2 linked regions of the Saccharomyces cerevisiae S288C genome follow. The protein of the gene in region 1 purifies or fractionates together with the protein of each later gene. This does not show direct contact. Each region holds a gene or a part of one and is shown in the gene's direction. Other genes may lie near its edges.

What was found.
Region 2: the proteins of MRPL19 (region 1) and RRG8 purify together in Saccharomyces cerevisiae (affinity purification with mass spectrometry; 2 studies listed by BioGRID). This does not show direct contact.

What each region holds. Positions count from the first base shown.
Region 1 is NC_001146.8:288,750-295,552, reverse strand, and holds MRPL19 (mitochondrial 54S ribosomal protein uL11m MRPL19), read left to right. Parts: upstream 1-2,883; coding exon 2,884-3,360; downstream 3,361-6,803. Other genes in the region: serine/threonine protein kinase NPR1, read left to right, coding at 44-2,416; YNL184C (uncharacterized protein), read left to right, coding at 2,670-2,996; ubiquitin-specific protease UBP10, read right to left, coding at 3,677-6,055; SWT21 (Swt21p), read right to left, coding at 6,486-6,803.
Region 2 is NC_001148.4:756,054-769,081, forward strand, and holds RRG8 (Rrg8p), read left to right. Parts: upstream 1-2,594; coding exon 2,595-3,428; downstream 3,429-13,028. Other genes in the region: RGC1 (Rgc1p), read left to right, coding at 1-2,075; HOB2 (Hob2p), read left to right, coding at 3,972-11,441; S-methyl-5-thioribose-1-phosphate isomerase MRI1, read left to right, coding at 11,699-12,934. UniProt on the Saccharomyces cerevisiae protein: Required for respiratory activity and maintenance and expression of the mitochondrial genome.

The sequences.
Region 1 (6,803 bases):
CTCATACCCATTCAAACAAAAAAGGAAAGCTCTACGAAACATTATGTCTTCATTAACTCGATTGCTACAGGAAAAACGAAAAAATGAAACTTCGAACTCATCACCGAGAACTTCTGCTGATACGTTGACCACGACGCCCGAGTCACAATCGCTTGACCTTCACTCTAGGAATAAGAGTAGTAGTCATATTGGTAGCGTGAGTAATAGCAGCAGTAGTGATCGTAATAGGGCTAACGTGCCAGTTCCTGGCAGTGTCACAACTGTTACTCAAATATACTCAGAGGAAGATTCATCATCAACAGCCGGTTCCTCTCTCGACGATAGGAATCAGTTTTCCTCCAGCTTCCTTAATGCAAACTTTGCTCACACTGCATCATTCTACGGCACAAGTGCACAAAGTAGAGATAGATTTGGATCCTTAATAAACGATCAAGGTACTGCAGGACTTTCCTCACATGGTGGTTCTTTTGCTGCACAGAACAGAATCACAAGTAGATTATCTACCACGTCACATACTTCAGGAAGGGCCATTCCTTCTTTATCATCAAGTATACCTTACTCCGTGCCAAATTCTAACAAAGATAACAATAGCTCGAATAGCAACAGCTCCTCTTTGTCTTCTTCGTGGCTCGAAACATATGCAGGCGGTATGCCCAATAATATTTCTGCAATCGATTCAAATGTTATATCCTCCCCAAAAGTAGATAGCGTGGAACCACGTTTTGTTATCTCCAAACAAAAACTCCAAAAAGCATCGATGGATAGTAATAATGCAAATGCCACTCAATCAAGATCTATATCCCGTTCAGGTTCATTCTCTTCACAGCTTGGGAATTTTTTCTTTTCCAAAAACTCAAAAGAATCTTCAAATTCTAACTCTGCAGGCATGTCTTTTTCTGCCAATTCCAATGGTCCTTCTCCAAACATTAAGAATCCCAATGTTACCAATGGTTCGACGCCTATCCCGAAGCCTATCCGCGCAAGACAAAGCAGCATATATTCTGCATCAAGACAGCCAACTGGTTCCTATACTGATAACTTTTACGGTTCCCCCTCATCTGTACATGACCACTTACCTCCAAGTCAAAGTGTTCCAAGGTCACAACATTCTTCCATCGGTGATTTAAAGAGGTTCTTCAAAAAAAGTTCTAACAGTAACCTTTCCTCGAATAGTAACAACGTGATCCCGAACGGATCACCTCTTTCTAGCGGAATTGCCGTTCCGTCACACTCTCATTCATCGTCTCATTTTGCCGCAGGGAATAACTCATATTCCACTAGTTATAACGGAAATGGAGATACTATTTATTCTCATAGTCACGGCGGTTCAGGAATTCCGTTCTCAAAAAGGTACATCAAAACCGGTGCCGATTTAGGCGCTGGAGCAGGAGGTTCTGTCAAATTAGCTCAAAGAATTTCAGATAACAAAATATTTGCAGTGAAGGAGTTTAGAACTAAATTTGAAAATGAATCCAAAAGAGATTATGTCAAGAAAATTACATCAGAATACTGTATTGGTACAACTTTGAATCATCCCAATATCATTGAAACAATTGAAATCGTGTATGAAAATGATAGAATTCTCCAAGTTATGGAATATTGTGAATACGATTTATTTGCTATTGTAATGAGTAATAAAATGTCCTATGAAGAGATTTGTTGTTGCTTCAAACAAATACTTACTGGTGTACAATATTTGCATAGTATCGGCTTAGCTCATAGAGATCTAAAGCTAGATAATTGTGTTATAAACGAAAAAGGTATTGTAAAATTAATCGATTTTGGTGCTGCTGTGGTATTTTCATATCCATTCTCAAAAAATCTTGTGGAAGCAAGTGGAATTGTTGGAAGTGATCCATATTTAGCACCTGAAGTCTGTATATTTGCGAAGTATGACCCACGTCCCGTAGATATTTGGTCTTCTGCAATCATTTTTGCATGTATGATACTGAAGAAATTTCCATGGAAAATTCCGAAATTAAGGGACAATTCATTCAAACTATTTTGTTCCGGACGTGATTGCGACTCCTTAAGTAGCTTGGTTACAAGAACTCCTGATCCACCTTCCTACGATGAATCGCACTCAACAGAAAAGAAAAAACCCGAAAGCTCTTCCAATAATGTATCAGATCCTAATAATGTTAATATCGGGCCACAAAGATTGTTGCACTCATTACCAGAAGAGACTCAGCATATTGTTGGACGTATGATTGATTTGGCGCCCGCATGCAGAGGAAATATCGAAGAAATCATGGAAGATCCTTGGATCCGTAGCATTGATATGTGCCACTTGGTTGAAGATGGATTATCGTTCAAAGTGGTTAGAGGAGAAGACCATCATCACACACAAGTGGATCAAAGTGAAGCACATATTGCAGGCCTAGAAAAGAAAAAGAAAAAGCAAAATAATCAATAAATAAGCGTCCCCACTTTTATTTCTTTTCCAAGCATTTGTATATAACCTTTTTTTATCCTATTTGAGTATATGTTAAAATACAATGTCATATTTACTTCTGTTAAACTAATTTCATATTTTACCGTTCTATAGAAGCCTAAATAGATTGACCTCCTGTTCATAATCTACTATTTTATCAGAAAAATGTAAAAGCTTAGTATGATAATAATTAATGGAAAAGTTCGTTAAAATATCGCGCCACTAATTAATAATAATGAAGCGGGTAACATTAATTGTCTTACCAAGGCGACAATTCCCTTTTCTAAAATTTCACAGCAAAGAAGCTTTAGAAAGTGCAGTAAATCTACAACTCATAAGAAGGAAAAAAAGCGTGAACATTCAAATCGACAGCGTAACCTTCTGTATTTATTTCTGTTTGTTGTACTTTCGAACTCTCGAATACCATAGAGGAACTATTAGTCTCCATAATGTCACAGGCAGCAAAAAACGTGATAGTAAAGCTAATAGTAGGAGCAGGCCAAGCGGCACCATCACCTCCCGTGGGGCCCGCATTGGGCTCCAAGGGTATAAAAGCCATTGACTTTTGTAAGGAATTTAATGCAAGATCAGCAAACTATCAGCCAGGTGTACCGGTTCCAGTATTAATCACAATAAAACCTGATAGAACATTTACGTTTGAAATGAAATCTCCACCAACCGGATATTTGCTGCTAAAAGCTCTTAAAATGGACAAGGGACATGGACAACCGAATGTGGGGACAATGTTAGGCAGTGCACCTGCCAAGGGACCAACCCGTGCTTTAGGAGAGTTATCGCTGAAGCACGTTTACGAAATAGCCAAGATAAAAAAGAGTGATGAAAGGCATAGTTTATTGGAGATGGAAGGTATTGTTAAATCAATAGTTGGCGTTGCAAAAAGTATGGGTATTAAGGTTGTACCTTGATCTGTAAGTAGTGAAAAGACAAAAAAGTACCGTCAATTTCGAGAAATTTTCAACAGACCTTCCTTCTTCTTTCTACTGATCTATTCTGTAAATATGTATATAAGTTTTAAATTCTCTTTCTCCCGTTATGTTAGCAAAGCTCGGTAGTACTGAAGCTATTCTGAGTAAACGCTTCTCCAACTCTGTATACTGAGAGTTGTTTTATAAGTCAATAAAGACCGGATATTTATATGTATATATTGATTTGGTATAATAAAAATGAAATGCTAATAAAAATGCCTATGAAAAGAGGAAAATCCAGGAATATCGAGTTTTTTCATTTGGTGAACTTCCTTTTTTTATTTTTTTTCCATTTTTTTCTGTTATTTTTCTTGCTATTAATCTTCAATGGGCGGTTATTTGGTTCGTTAACAGCCTGTTCCTGTTTGGATTTAGAGGTAACATTACCAGTGGCCATGGCAGATTTCGCCAATGGCAATGGAACCGATTTTGGAGTTAGCCTCGTGTATAGGAGATAATATGCGTTGGGTTCCTTTAAAACGTCCCTTTCAGATATTATATTAATATACTCGTCGTCGTAAGTGGCCCAGCTACCGTCTGGTTGCTTGCAGTGGGCAATGTAGTGACCTGAAGAAAGGGAGCGGCCCTCATGAACCACCACGCTTAATAGTTGGTATTTGACAGGTAGCTCTTTACTCTCACAATATTCCGTCAAATCTAAAAACATAGGATAAGAAACAGCTTGCTTCATTTTTGATGAGGACGTGCCATTGAATCTGAATTTTTTCAGATGCACAAGTAAAGTTTCAGGAGCCCTTAATATTGAACTATGCTTCACGGCGTTCGTGGTCTTGTGACACTTCTCACAAACGTAACCCTTTTGCTCCTTGTCAACCTTGATTAATTCGGGATTGAAGAAATCTTTAATTGATTTTTCAATAGAAAATCTGCGGTTGGCTGAACTTAAATCACTGGCAGCGGCAAATGGTGAGCCATTGTTTAAATTGACAGATGAAGAGGATGAAAGAGATGGTTTTGTGGCAGCATTGGAGGTAGTGGTAGAAGTGGTGGCTGAAGTGCCGTTAATGCTATCACTCGACAGGTCAGAATTTGGATCAAGTTTTTTCTTCCCTTTCAAGTGCAACGATAAATCGTAAAATGGTTGTTCTGTTTTAGATATACTGCCACAAGATTTGCAAGTAACGATCTGCTTTAAAAGACCACCGAATATGTCATATATTATCGATTCTATAAGTTTATGACCCTTGGGAACAGAATCTTCCTGTAATCTTGACATCAGAGACATGAAGTACTCATGTGAATCTTCCTGCTGCCATTCGCTCATCATACAATTAATGTCATCCAATCTGGAAATCAAATGTTTTGGATTAATGTAGGAAGCTGAAACGTTCTTTCTAGGGTTTTTTGAGACCGGTAACCACATTTTTTTACTTGTTTCAGCTAAAGTATAGGAAACGGAATTTTTTGAGATGGTGCTATCGTATTTCCCCATTAGTATATCAAAAAGATAATGTTGTATCGAAGGAATGTGTAACATAGCCTGTACAGCAGCATTTGTGTAACAAGTAACACCATGATTCAAAAGGCCACGAGGCTTCAAATTGGTGAATTTGTCGCCCCAATTTTTAACAATTCTAGTAGAGTTTAAAGAACCACGATCATTGATATTTTCATTGAATTGGTAAAAGTTTGATAGATTTGATATTGTAACCGGAGGGGTGATTGACCTAGATTTATGTTTCAGCTCTTCTTCCTCTTCTTCCTCCTCCTCTCCCTTTGGATTCCTGTTTCCATTTTCTTTGGTGTTGTTTACTGGTTCGTACCGATTTACTTCCACTGTACTATTTTCCATTAAATCTTGATATAAACTCTTTTTTTCGCCTTCAGAAATTTTGGAGCTGGAATCGTTCTCCTCTTCTTCAGGGAGCTCTTTTTCCATAGCACTAGAATCATAATCCATGTCATCCTCATCCTCGTCGTCTTCTATTTCGTCATCACTGCTAATGCTTGTAGACAGTTCCTTTCTTTTTTCCTTTTCATTCTCATTAGATGAATCATCAATGGTTGCTAATGGAGAACCCAAGTTTTCACCAATGTCTTCACCAATGTCTTCACCGATGTCTTCACCGATGTCTTCACCGATGTCTTCGCCGATGTCTTCACCATCGCCCTTATCTGCGTTGTCGCGTTCCTTCAAACTAGCTTTTCGGGGTTCTACATAGTCTCTTGCCTCATGAAATATTTCACCCTCTTCCTCTTCCTCTTTTCCTACTTTGTCATCTTCCGAAGAAGAGGAAGGAGGCTCCGTAGAAAGCTCCGTAGAAAGCTCCGCTGACTTCTTGGCACCAGTAGCATCTGCAGCATCTTTATCATTTTTAGAAGTATACAACAATAAAGCTTCAGCCATAGATTTAGGAACAGTGTTGGTTTTCTTTCCGTTTGGCCTGTCTATCAAGTTATTTTCTTTTATTTGCTTGGATTCGGCCGTTGCAGCAATAGCTGTGCTATTACTATTGTTATTATGCTGTTTTCCTATCACAATATACGAGCTATTTTCCGGCGCGGCGGAAGTATCATTATTATTCGATTTGTTAGAGATCATTGCAGCATTGAACTGCAGGGGATTTGATAGGATTCTATCTACCAAAGGTTTGATCGATTCTTGAGTGGTCATAGTCTGTGATTGTGATATGACAATAGGACGGATTTACAGATACTATGAGTTGTAGATTCTTTCCGTTAGTTTTTCTATGAAATATTATGTGCAGTACAGAACAAAAGAGGCTTCAGACACTATGCATGCTCCTGTGTGCAGTATATGATGCTTAATAGCTTCTATGAAACAAATAAAGGACAGAAGCGGGGATGGAAGACTCTGTTAATGCTTTACAGGGAAGTTTTTCCCGATGGTGGCACTATATAAAAATAAGAACTTTTTTCTTTTCTTTTGGGGATTTTTTTCGATGCGAAAAAAATTTTTTGACGGCATGAGGCAAGAAGTGAACAAAAGAGGTGGTGTCTGGGGGATGCAATTTAACTTCTTACTTGTGCGCGTTCATCGGAGAAAGCTGGCCGGGTGATACACGAATACGGGTTTGCCGTTTTTAGCCGCCGAACCTGCATAATGAAATTGTGCCCCCATGAGATAGGGCGAACAGTTCGGGATCCCCAGGACAATTCTTCACTACCGTGGCAGGAATAGTAGAATCAAGGTTAGTGCGCCACTCTGACTCTGGCGGGATAGACGTGATTAGTGGGTCTTCAACACTATTGTGTGAGGGAACACCTCCAAATTCCACAAGGTCTCGACCCCAGTTCAATATTGTTCCCTGCGGCGTCCCCATACTTAGTCCGTAAGCCGTATCTATATATGCCTTCAACTTTGCAGAGTTGTGGTGGATCCGAAACGGTAGGCGCAATAC
Region 2 (13,028 bases), on another chromosome or scaffold:
TTCGAGAAGCTTTTCTGAATTTACAATCAGCAGCACTACAACTGGAGAAAATAGTATATTCTAAAATTCAATCCGCATTACAGCGCTACTCAGCGTTAATTGATTCAGAAGCACGATTAATGATCAAAAATTTGTGCCATGAATTGCAGCAAGGTATTCTATCTAGACCACCGGCTGTAGAGTGGGATAATTTTGTCTCTCATCATCCTACCTGTCTGATGAATTTAAAATCGACAGACCCGCCACCGCAACCCAGAAGATTATCTGATATTGTTTATCCTAACATGAAATCGCCGCTGGCCAAATGCATTAGAGTAGGATATCTACTGAAGAAAACAGAGTCTTCTAAAAGTTTTACTAAAGGTTATTTTGTGTTGACTACAAATTATCTTCACGAATTCAAAAGCAGCGATTTCTTTCTAGACAGCAAGTCTCCCCGTTCAAAAAATAAACCTGTTGTTGAACAATCAGACATTAGCCGTGTGAATAAGGATGGGACTAACGCTGGCAGTCACCCATCGAGCAAAGGGACACAGGATCCGAAACTGACGAAGAGAAGAAAGGGTTTGAGTTCTTCGAATCTATATCCTATCTCTAGTTTGTCTTTAAATGATTGCTCATTAAAGGATAGTACTGACTCAACTTTTGTTTTACAAGGGTATGCTAGTTATCATTCACCAGAGGACACATGTACAAAAGAATCAAGCACGACCTCAGATTTGGCATGTCCAACAAAGACGCTTGCTTCAAATAAGGGCAAACATCAACGTACGCCTTCAGCTCTCTCGATGGTGTCCGTTCCGAAATTTCTAAAGAGTTCTTCCGTGCCCAAGGAACAAAAAAAGGCTAAAGAAGAAGCTAACATCAATAAGAAGTCAATTTGCGAGAAGCGCGTTGAATGGACGTTTAAAATATTTTCCGCAAGTCTTGAACCAACTCCAGAGGAATCAAAAAATTTCAAGAAATGGGTTCAGGACATAAAAGCGCTTACAAGTTTCAATTCTACTCAGGAGAGGTCGAACTTCATTGAAGAAAAGATTCTGAAAAGTAGAAACCATAATAATGGAAAGAGCTCTCAAAGGTCCAAAAACAGTACATATATCACTCCAGTAGACAGTTTTGTTAACCTTTCTGAAAAAGTAACGCCATCTTCCTCTGTTACCACGTTAAACACTAGGAAGAGGGCAAATCGTCCTCGTTATATAGACATCCCAAAAAGCGCAAATATGAATGCAGGCGCTATGAATTCCGTATACAGGTCAAAAGTCAATACACCAGCCATTGATGAAAATGGTAATCTGGCCATAGTGGGAGAAACGAAAAACAGTGCTCCACAAAATGGTATGAGTTACACAATTAGAACCCCTTGCAAATCGCCTTATTCACCTTATACTGGGGAAGGTATGCTTTACAACCGGTCAGCAGATAACTTAATGGCATCCTCTTCGCGAAAAGCATCGGCTCCCGGAGAGGTACCTCAAATAGCTGTTAGTAATCATGGGGATGAAGCCATTATTCCGGCAAGCGCGTATTCAGATAGTAGTCATAAATCGTCTCGTGCCTCCAGTGTTGCATCCATTCACAACCAACGGGTTGATTTTTATCCTTCGCCATTAATGAACTTACCAGGTGTTTCACCCAGTTGTCTAGCATTGGATGGTAATGCAAACGGATATTTTGGAATACCATTGAATTGCAATTCGGAAGCAAGACGAGGGTCAGATCTTTCACCTTTTGAGATGGAGTCTCCATTGTTCGAGGAAAACAGAACTCAAAACTGCAGTGGCTCTCGCAAAAGTTCAGCTTGTCATATTCCCCATCAATGTGGTCCAAGGAAAGAAGGTAATGACTCACGATTGATCTACGGCAATGAGAAGGGCGCCTCACAATCACGTCTAACGTTGAAGGAACCGCTTACATCTAAAGGTGTTGAAGCTCCTTATAGCAGTTTGAAAAAGACATATAGTGCGGAAAACGTCCCACTAACATCTACTGTATCGAATGATAAGTCTCTTCACTCGCGCAAGGAGGGAAGTACTAATACTGTACCTGCTACATCCGCGTCAAGTAAGTGACACTATGAAAACCTGTCCAATAAGACTGCACAGATGAAGAGCATGTCATTTGGTTCCTTGATAAGTGTAATAAGCAACAAGAAAGTCCTGGGTCATGTTCCTGCTGAAAATACAAACCCATTAACTACCGGAAACGAAGAAGATTAAGACAAAATGGAAAAGTTAAGTTAAACGCAATCAGTTCATATATTCTTAGATAGTTATCATGTTTTTATAAGTAAACAAAGTAGTCTTCTACCAAATAAAAATAGATTCCTGATTGGGTATTTTTCAGAAGTATCATCTGAACTTGATGTTATTTTAAAATGAAAGCCAGCGTCCATAATTATCTTTTTCTTACTTGTTTTTTACAGTGGCGGTAGGATTGGCAATGCCTGTTCATCTCCAGTTTTCCGGTCCGCTTACGACATCGGCCTTTCTATAAGACAGGTTGGCAATGCGCCACGGTACATGATGACGATAGGAGCCTTCGAATAATATTTTGTTGTGAATTCTCCTGGGAACCTCTCAAAATCAAATATGGGTTTACCTAAATCGGCATATAAGAAGTTACTCATAGATTGTCCAACGAGAGTCATTAATAAAAACTGTGCCCAACGAGTCAAAGATGTTTCTCCGCTCATTACAAACTTCGAGAAATGGTCGGATAAGCGCAAGAAGCTCTATTTCAAAGATGAAGAGGAAATGGTGGGGCAGTTCCATTTGGAAAATTTCAATTTAAAAAATAACTTATATGGTAGGCTTTTAGCTTCTCCAATGAGAGCAGAAAAAATCTCAAAATTAAAATCGTGTAGAGAATTACTAATTCCATTGAAAGTGGTACCATCAACTGGCAAAGATCAGCATGCTGATAAAGATAAACTAAAACTGGTACCTACACTAGATTATTCCAAATCATACAAAAGCTCGTACGTATTGAATTCAGCCTCCATTGTACAAGACAACTTGGCGGCTGCGACGTCATGGTTCCCAATCTCGGTATTGCAAACATCAACTCCAAAGAGCCTAGAAGTTGATTCCTCTACATTTATAACGGAATACAATGCTAACTTGCACGCATTTATAAAAGCAAGACTTTCAGTGATACCGAATGTTGGACCTTCTTCGATAAATCGTGTTTTACTCATTTGTGACAAGAGAAAAACACCCCCGATTGAAATACAAGTAGTTAGTCATGGTAAAGGGCTACCAATTACACAGTCTGTCTTTAACCTTGGTTATCTCCACGAGCCAACTCTAGAAGCTATCGTGAGTAAAGATGCAGTTACTAATGGAATTTACCTGGATGCCGACAATGACAAGGATCTCATCAAACACCTTTATAGTACATTATTGTTTCATTCAGTTAACTGATTGCGGAAGAAAAAAGGAAGGAAAGCGGGATATATCGCTGGAATTGTCTCTCTGAATTTGCCATTATTCTTATTCAATGAATACAAAACTGGCTGTCAGCGAATGGCATCATTTTGCAATCCGAAAATGAAAAATTTGGGCGCCTCGGGCAGGAGAATTCAGAACCCTTAATCCCGCACATCTACGTAAAATATCTCTGAGGTGTTCTATAGTCCATCACTTACCATCCATCTGCAAGGCTGTATGATTGATAAAGAGGAACATTAAGGGTAAATAGATTTGTTGATTTGTTTGCACTAGTGGCTTTGTATTAAAAACTTCAAGGGCATACACATGCATTATATTCAAGAGCACAACCAATAATTTACCATTATAGAAGGTACTTCTTTGAAAACTAAATCATACACTTTTTCCCACGAAAAGGCTTACATTTAAAAGCTAAGCATTCAATTTAGTTTTGCTGATCAATTTCTCGAGTAGGCTTGTCATCCATAATATCTAGTAGCTGGAGTATCCTGTTTATTGCAAGAAAAAAAATCTACAATGTCTATGTTACCGTGGTCTCAAATAAGGGATGTGTCTAAACTATTATTAGGCTTTATGCTTTTTATTATATCAATTCAGAAAATCGCTAGTATTCTCATGTCATGGATATTGATGCTGCGCCATTCCACAATACGAAAAATTTCATTTGGATACTTTTTTGGTACGTCAATAAGACGAGCGTTTATCTTAACTGATTTTGCTCAAATATATATTGGCAAGATAACCTTGCGAATAGGTTGGAAACCCGGAATTGTGTTTCATAATGTTGATTTGAAGTTATTTGGGAAGGACAGCCATATCACTGCACATTCAACTAAAGACTCCAGAACATATTTCAATCCGCGGGATCAAACTTTTACCTTTGTAATTAACAGGCGAGTCCTATCAATTTTGAAACTTGTGTTCTCATTTTCCACTTTCTTTCATACTTTAGCTCTTACAGTGCCTAATGGAAAACAATATAAATTAAATATCGGATCCATAACGATATCACACCCACACGATGATACCATAAAGTTAGAGGCATTTTTGCATGATTTTACCCATCCTGAAACGAAAGATACTTTGAACCATACTGGTTTTTTTATGGTCTGTAAAATTGGAAAGGAAGATGATACAGGCAGCAACTGCACAAAAGTTATACTAAAAAATTGGAAATCAAGTCTCAAAATAAGTGATGTTTGTTGGCATCTTCCAGAGAAGAAAGGGAAGAATTTGCATTCGGAGCCTGTTGAGCCTTTTTCTGCTGGTGATGATGCGGAAATGCTCACTTCATATCGTAAGATGCTAAAGCCTTTTCACTACCCACTGAAAACTTTGAACATTCTGGACCTTAAGGTAGAAAATGTAAAGTTGATTTACAAAAAAAAGTTTACAATTCGCATATCAAGTGCTCAACTTTACTTGGAATCAATCTCCATTCTAAATAATGTCTCCGCTTTGGAACTTTTACCCTTAAATAAGCCCACATGGGGCGATTTTGAACTATCACTTTCTGCAAATGCTGTTGTAGTAGATATCGATGGTAATACAGCAGTTAGAATTCCATTTGGAAATGTCATACTGACGTCAGATATTTTACTATTTTTACTTGACAATGTACCTTTACGGAGAACGAAGGTATCTTCCATTTTGAACATTATAAATCCTTCAGTATTCCTCACTATACATCAAGTACTGGAAGTTCTTCATTTAGTGGACAAATTCGATAGCCCTGAGACCTCATCATGTACTAACACAAACGACAGATCATTAAATATTTTAGATTTAGATATTGATCGATTGCCCAGTTTTAACTTTGAACTACTAATGTCGAATTTTATTTCAAGGCTGCATATATCAGATGAGGAGAATGTGACGTTTAAGGTCTTCAGCACACATGCTCTCTTTAGCCGTAACAACTTGTCTATGACTCCTAAAAAGGGACAAGTAATGCAAATACGTCCGGATTGGCCATTTGCGAAGACAGCCCTAGTATCTGATCAATTATCTAACTATATTAAAATTGTGGGTACATCACTCTCTTACCTGAGAATTCCAACAGAGCAGGACGCTAACCCAGTGTCTATACCAGTCTGTGGCTTTGAAAGATTAGACACATTTCTGGATGAATTTTCAAATTCTAAATTGATCGTTCAGTCTACACTAAGACATTCGTACGTTAGTCTTGAGAACATTGAAGTTTTGCATACTTTAAGTCGCGCCTTTGACAAAATTTACTTGCTAATATCTAGCAGAACAAAAAGGAATGCGGCTCATAAAGCGAATGGTGGAAAATTGGGGGACCTAAATGAAGCCAAGAAAACATTTAACTGGTCATTGAAACTTAGAATGAAGGATATTTCATGTTCGTTACTGGTCGCTGGGTTTCTTCCGAAAAATTTGGATCCTGTGGAAGCTGAGAATTTTAACTTATCTGACGTAACTAGAGGCGCCAAAGTTGTTTTTACAGAATCAATATTGTTAGCGGACAGCCAGGAGAAAAACTTCACTATTATTGATGCATCCGTATATCGTTTCATGGATGGCACTACGTATAAGCCCTCTCCTGAGGTTATTATTCAATTTACCAATTTGTTATTGAGTTTTAACGACTCAGATGAAATTCATTTTTCACTTCCCAAGATTAAATTTAAGATGGATGTAAATATTATCTGGTTGTGGTTTTATATTCGGAGTATATGGATAAAATTTCGTCCTAATTCAAAATTGAGCCGAAATTCAGTGAGCAGTGTAAAATCTGTCAATGTTCTCGATAGATTAAGAGTAGATATAGGAAAGATGATTATAGAGCTAACGCTTCCTCATAATACAGAGGTACTCCTAATATTCGAGAGGATTGGACTTTCAAGTTCCACTAAAAATCTTACAATTGCATCTTTGTCAGCGTACGTGGTATCGGTTTATGTGAAGCATATTAAGGTTTATGTTTCCTTGCTAAATATTAATGACTTTGAGCTAGACACTGAAGAGTTGATCTGCAAGAAATCCGCTGTTATAAACACCTCATTGATTCATTTTCATGCCGAATATCATTTTAGATTTTACATGATAACGGATAACATAGTCACGTTGTATAAATCGTTTAAGCAAATTAAATTGGCATTTTCCAATTTGAATGAATTTAAGCGATTATACCCTCAGCAACAGTTTCCGAAAAAAGTTCCAAATTTACATATTTGTTGCCAGGATTTTCTAATTGATATTGAAGAAGATCCTTTTGAGCAGGAGTTAGGATTAATTTTGAAAGTTGGTGTTTTGGAACAACGTGAGAGGTTAAAGAAGCTTGAAGAGTTCAAGGAAAAGCTATCAACATATGAGGACATGAATGTACGTTTAAGGTCGCTCTATGATACCTCCCGTGGACAAAGTTTTTTCCCAGAGTTTTATGCGAATGATCAAGAATATGAGCAAAAGGCCTATCTCAGGTTGTTAGAAAACTTTTCAACGTCATGGATTGCCAGATACAGGAAAGCAAAACTTTCTTTTTATGGTATGCCTTATCGGGTTATCAGCCGTGAAGAGCTTGGTACGAAATACCACTTGTTTACTAGACAGAAAACCAGTACTGTTGCTAACCTCGTCGTAAAAGATTTGGATTTTAAACTAGGCAGTCCTTCCTTCCCTTTAGACAATTATATGGATTTTGTTTACCAGTATGGAAAAAAAGTTCCAAAATCTACGGAGTACACTTTGCTAATTATTCTTGGCCTCAAAATCAAAAGCGCGTTATGGGAGTTGCGTCTGAGAGATTATCCAATACCTGCTATATCATTTCCCGACACATTTACAACAGGTGATGTTGTATTTGCTGAAAAGATGCCAGCACCTTGCGCGCTTCATACTGTTTATGTTCCTTTTGTCAGCTCTGCCCAAAGAAGCCCCTATAATGACGCCAATACAATATATGGTTTGCACATCATTCGTACAATTAATTCAGTCAAAACATATTTCAATATTAGGTCAATGGTTACATCTTCTTCATCTGCCAGAATAACATGGGGGAAATCTCTGCAACCCGGTTATGAGTCTTTGATGCTTTGGTTTGATTTTTTAACCAAACCTCTCATCGATCCGTCCAAAAAGCTAGGATTTTGGGACAAATTCAGATATTTAGTGCATGGGAAGTGGATATACGAGTTTTCAGAGGAAAGTGAGATCCACTTAAATATTAAAGGTTCACATGATCCTTATAAGATTACAGATGATGGTGCGGGTCTGGCGTTCTGCTGGTCTGGTGGCACCACAATTTACGTTCATAACTCCACGGATCCTAAAGAGTTTTTAAAAATTGAATCCCAAAGGTTTCAGTTGGCAGTGCCAGACTTTGCCAAAGTTAGTAAATTTGATAAAGTCTTTATGAAGCTCGATGGAAGAGTAATTTGGACATTAGGTTTACTTTTTGAACAAGGCGATATATCTAAGGCTGGTGACGAAGAGAGGTTCCTTCCAAATAGGCCACATTATGAAATACAGCTGATGAATCCAGATGGAGTCGCAGATTTGGATCACCATGATACATACAAAGGATTTAGAACATCTTTTATCCACATGTCATTTGGTGTCTATTCTTCTGAGCACGGATCCATAAATAGTCTCTATCTCGCACCTTACGCTTTAACACATTTCTTTAAGTGGTGGAATTTATTTCATACATATACATCTGGTCCTATTAGGCAAGGACGGTTATTTACGGATGTACTTCAAAACAAGACAAAGTTTGGTCGCTCATTATTTACAATAGCTTATCAGCTACATTTAAAACGGCTAATGGTTACGCATATTTATCGGCATATTACTACTCAATATGATCTTGAAAAAGACCGCAAAATAACTTTTACTGGATTGAAAGGGAGGTTTGATTCACTGAAAATTGATTTGCATCAAAAAAGAGTTAAACTGACCCATACGAACCAAAAATTAAATAAGTCAAAACCTGTATGGAAGTTTAAGATGTCTAGGGGTGAGATTGATTGTGCAGAAGCAGATATTAGGATATTATCAACTCTGTTTGATCAGGAAGCAGTTAAGGAAATTCTTACTTCTGGACTCGATGGCATACTTGAAGACGAGCCATCACGTCCTATTACGCCTCAAGATGTGGAATACTTGCGTGAATCAGATTGGTATGATTATGAGGATTATATAGACTTGAATCAAGTGCCGCTTGGTTCCTCACTTCCATTAAAATTAGAAGCAATACCATTGCTATACTCTCCTAGAATATCCTACTTTAGAAAAATAAATGATGATGGTTACGTACTAGCTTACCCATTTGGTACCGAAGAATCTCACAATTGTCTGATTGGCAAGAATCATCCAGAATTGACGCAGGAGAAATTAGCAACTGAAAGAAAACGAGAAATAGAAGAACAACTAAAATTATTACATATTACGTTAAGCGAATTGCAATCGAACAAAGGCGGAGGTTCGGTAAGTGGAAATTCGGAGCGCTATGCACGCGAATTAAAAGCAGAGGTAGCTGAATTAAACCACAGATTGCACACAGTCAACACCATCTTGAGCGATTTAAAAATCTCGGAGACTATTCCTGGAGGAAATACTGATGGTGATAGCTCCAGCTCACTCTCCGATACTGATGTAAATTTGGAAAATGCACCGCCAATTCAAAATAGAATATCGCTATTGAGGACCAATACCGTGGAGTCTTTTGTATCAATGAGAAAAGCCTCTACTATGCAGGTTGAGTCCACCTATGATAACCGTTTCATGGTCCATAATATCGAGTTAAAAATCGATAATAAAATCAGGCATCACCTTTTGGAATACGCTTCCAGTGCTTTCGAAAGGAAATCTATGAGGTTTGCTGTGACTTATAAATCCGTAACTATTTTAAAAGAATTACTGGGAAATGTGTTGACTGGGGTCAGAACATCTGTAGAAGATTATGGTTCAATACTTGAGGACGATTTAGCCAGTAATTCAGAATTTATTGAGCACTTTGAGAAACTCATCAGAGAAGTTCCGAGTGATGACTTTGATTATGTTGATAATTATCTTTTTAGACTAATCTCCCCTCAGGTTCAGATCAAATCGGACGTTGAAAGGAACGCAGCAGTTATTTTAGCTGCTAGGGATATAGAAATGGGAATAATTGATATAGTTCAAGTGTATGGAAAATCAGGAAAAAGAATTCCCGTTGACGTCGATACTATTGTTGAAACTCGCTATTCCGCTGTTTCAAAGGACATTCAGTTGTTTACATTGTTCAAAAAGGATTTAGAGGGTCCTGAAGGTAGATTTTTCCATAAAAATGGATATGGTTCCGACAAAGAGTCAGATATATGGCCCCCATGGATTCCTCTTGAAATGTGCTTTGACGGGTCTTTATTAGATAAGCATGTTTTTCTAAAACGGAGATCAATGTTTTTGACCTACGTCGCTCCCAATCCCCTATTTTTTAGTGCAAATGATACGTCTGCATTCTCTTATGATTCGAGATTTCGTATTGCATTTCCAGGATTGGTTCTGACCTCGGACTGTCAACAATACTGCGCTGTATATGCAATCGCAGAAGATTTACTTTCCTTTGGATCATCATTGGATGAAAAAGTTGAGAAACTTTCCAGGATATTATTTACTGATGAGGTCAGAAATAACCTGGAAAATCTTGATGTCTCTGTTGTCACAGCATTACAAGAAAGAATAAAGGAACTCTATTATACGCGAGCATACCTCAAACTTCACGAGCCAAGATTGTTTATGAAATCAGGACAAGAGCTAACCTTCGATATTCAAACTAGTACGTTGAAGTTGACGTTACTTATGACGGCAATCAAGAAAACTTACGACCGGATGGGGAGTGGTAATAGAGTAATACAGAAAAGATTGAGGTGGCAAGTTGGAACAGATGAATTGATATGGGAATTGTACGATGAGAGTAAAACTCCTTTCGTGACTATCGGATTGGGGCCCTCTACATTTATTCGTTCAGAAACTTCCGATGGCACTAATAGTAATAAAGTATCCATTTCTTCCTTACAATGTTTCAACCAGCAAGAAAATCCCGTTTACACTGAATTGCTGGCCCCCTTTTATGAAAATTCATCCTATAATAAGAACGCGCCAATGGTAGAAATTTTTTGGATCCTGGGGCCATCAGTTGGAGGTATTTCAGATCTGCAAGATTTGATTGTTTCTCTACAGCCATTGATTTTCAAGATGGATCACAAAACATCGGAAAAACTAATGAATTATCTATTTCCAAAGATAGAACAAACTTCCATAGAACCCAATTCTCCAGAACTTGTACCACGTTCTTCCACTAGTTCCTTCTTTTCATCGTCTCCAGTTTTACGGCACAGTCTTTCTAACGGTTCTTTATCTGTGTACGATGCGAAAGACGTTGACTCTTGGGACTTGCGTAGTATCCAGAGCAAAGAAGGTATCAAAAAGCATAAGGGTGATCATAGAAAATTGTCAGCATCACTTTTTGTGCAACCTGATTATAACATCAATGAAATGGTCAAAAGATCAGGGACATTTTTCAATGTAAAATCTATTATAATCCGAAAAACTCTAATGTCCGTGTGTTATAAGGGTTCACACAGCCTTTTGACCGATGTTAATAACCTGATTGTTAGAGTCCCTGTTTTAAAGTACCATAACAAACTGTGGTCGAGGGAAGAATTTTTTACTGCTTTGAAAAGAGACGTCGTAAGAATAGTTTTACAACATTTGGGAAATATTATTGGTAACAAATTTTTGCCTCATAAAAAAGAGAATAAGAAAAAAACTTCTATGGAAATACATCGATTACTAAGTCCAGATTCTCAAAATCGTGATAATTCACATATCCTTGAAGTCGAAGGGCATAATTCATTTTATAGCTCCACGCACTCTTCAGATATCAGATCAATAAACTCAGATGAAACGTATAATGAAAATGATGGAAATGGAGTAAAGCCATTTTACCCTGTTACGAGTGAGTTTTCAAAAAATAAATGAGGAAACACACACATGTGTCTAGCGTAAATATTCTTCAGTTATATAGTAATTGTATTATATACTAAAATGAAAATCAGTAAGATTTTTTTTTTACAGGCCTTCTTGGCGTTAGTTTTTCCGGTTTTTCACTTACTAAGATGAGATGATGGGGCGCACGGCCAAAGTATTCCCCATTCATCAATTTAGCATGCTAGAATAAAAAGATTAAGAGCAATATCTACGACCGACAAAGTGATCTATCAAACTGCTGACAAAAAATGTCGTTGGAAGCCATCGTCTTTGATAGATCGGAGCCAGAAAATGTTTCGGTAAAGGTACTTGATCAATTACTTTTACCATATACTACTAAATACGTTCCAATTCACACAATTGATGATGGGTACTCAGTCATCAAAAGTATGCAGGTGAGAGGTGCCCCGGCAATTGCAATTGTGGGTTCGTTATCTGTTTTGACTGAGGTACAATTAATAAAACACAACCCAACTTCTGATGTTGCTACGCTGTATTCTTTAGTTAACTGGGAATCTACAAAAACAGTGCTAAATAAGAGGCTAGATTTCCTTTTGAGTAGTAGACCCACAGCCGTTAATTTATCAAATTCTCTTGTAGAGATAAAGAACATACTGAAATCCTCAAGTGACCTAAAGGCTTTTGACGGTAGTTTATATAATTACGTCTGTGAATTGATAGATGAGGATTTGGCGAATAACATGAAAATGGGTGATAATGGAGCTAAGTATTTGATTGACGTGTTACAAAAGGACGGTTTCAAGGACGAATTTGCCGTTCTGACGATTTGTAATACTGGATCCTTAGCAACCTCTGGATATGGCACGGCTTTAGGTGTTATCCGTTCTTTGTGGAAGGATTCACTTGCTAAAACCGACAAGGCAGACTCGGGATTGGACAATGAAAAATGCCCGAGGATGGGCCATGTCTTCCCACTGGAAACTAGACCTTATAATCAAGGGTCAAGGCTAACAGCATACGAGCTAGTTTATGATAAGATTCCATCAACTTTAATTACTGATAGTTCCATCGCGTATAGAATTAGAACTAGTCCAATTCCAATCAAAGCAGCATTTGTTGGAGCTGATAGAATTGTTCGTAATGGGGATACAGCAAATAAAATTGGTACTTTACAACTTGCTGTAATTTGTAAGCAGTTCGGAATTAAGTTTTTTGTAGTAGCTCCCAAAACAACTATCGATAATGTAACCGAAACTGGCGATGACATTATTGTGGAAGAACGTAACCCTGAGGAATTCAAGGTTGTTACTGGTACAGTAATTAATCCTGAAAATGGTTCCTTGATATTGAATGAGTCAGGAGAGCCAATCACTGGAAAGGTCGGTATTGCCCCTCTTGAAATCAATGTCTGGAATCCAGCCTTCGACATTACTCCACATGAGCTTATTGACGGAATTATCACAGAAGAAGGTGTATTTACCAAAAATTCCAGTGGTGAATTTCAACTGGAAAGCCTTTTCTAGATATCATTCTAATTAGACTCTCGAAATAATTACTTTTGTACTGTAAAGGATAAAATTTCATATTGAGATGTAAGAATTATTTTTTTTTTTCATT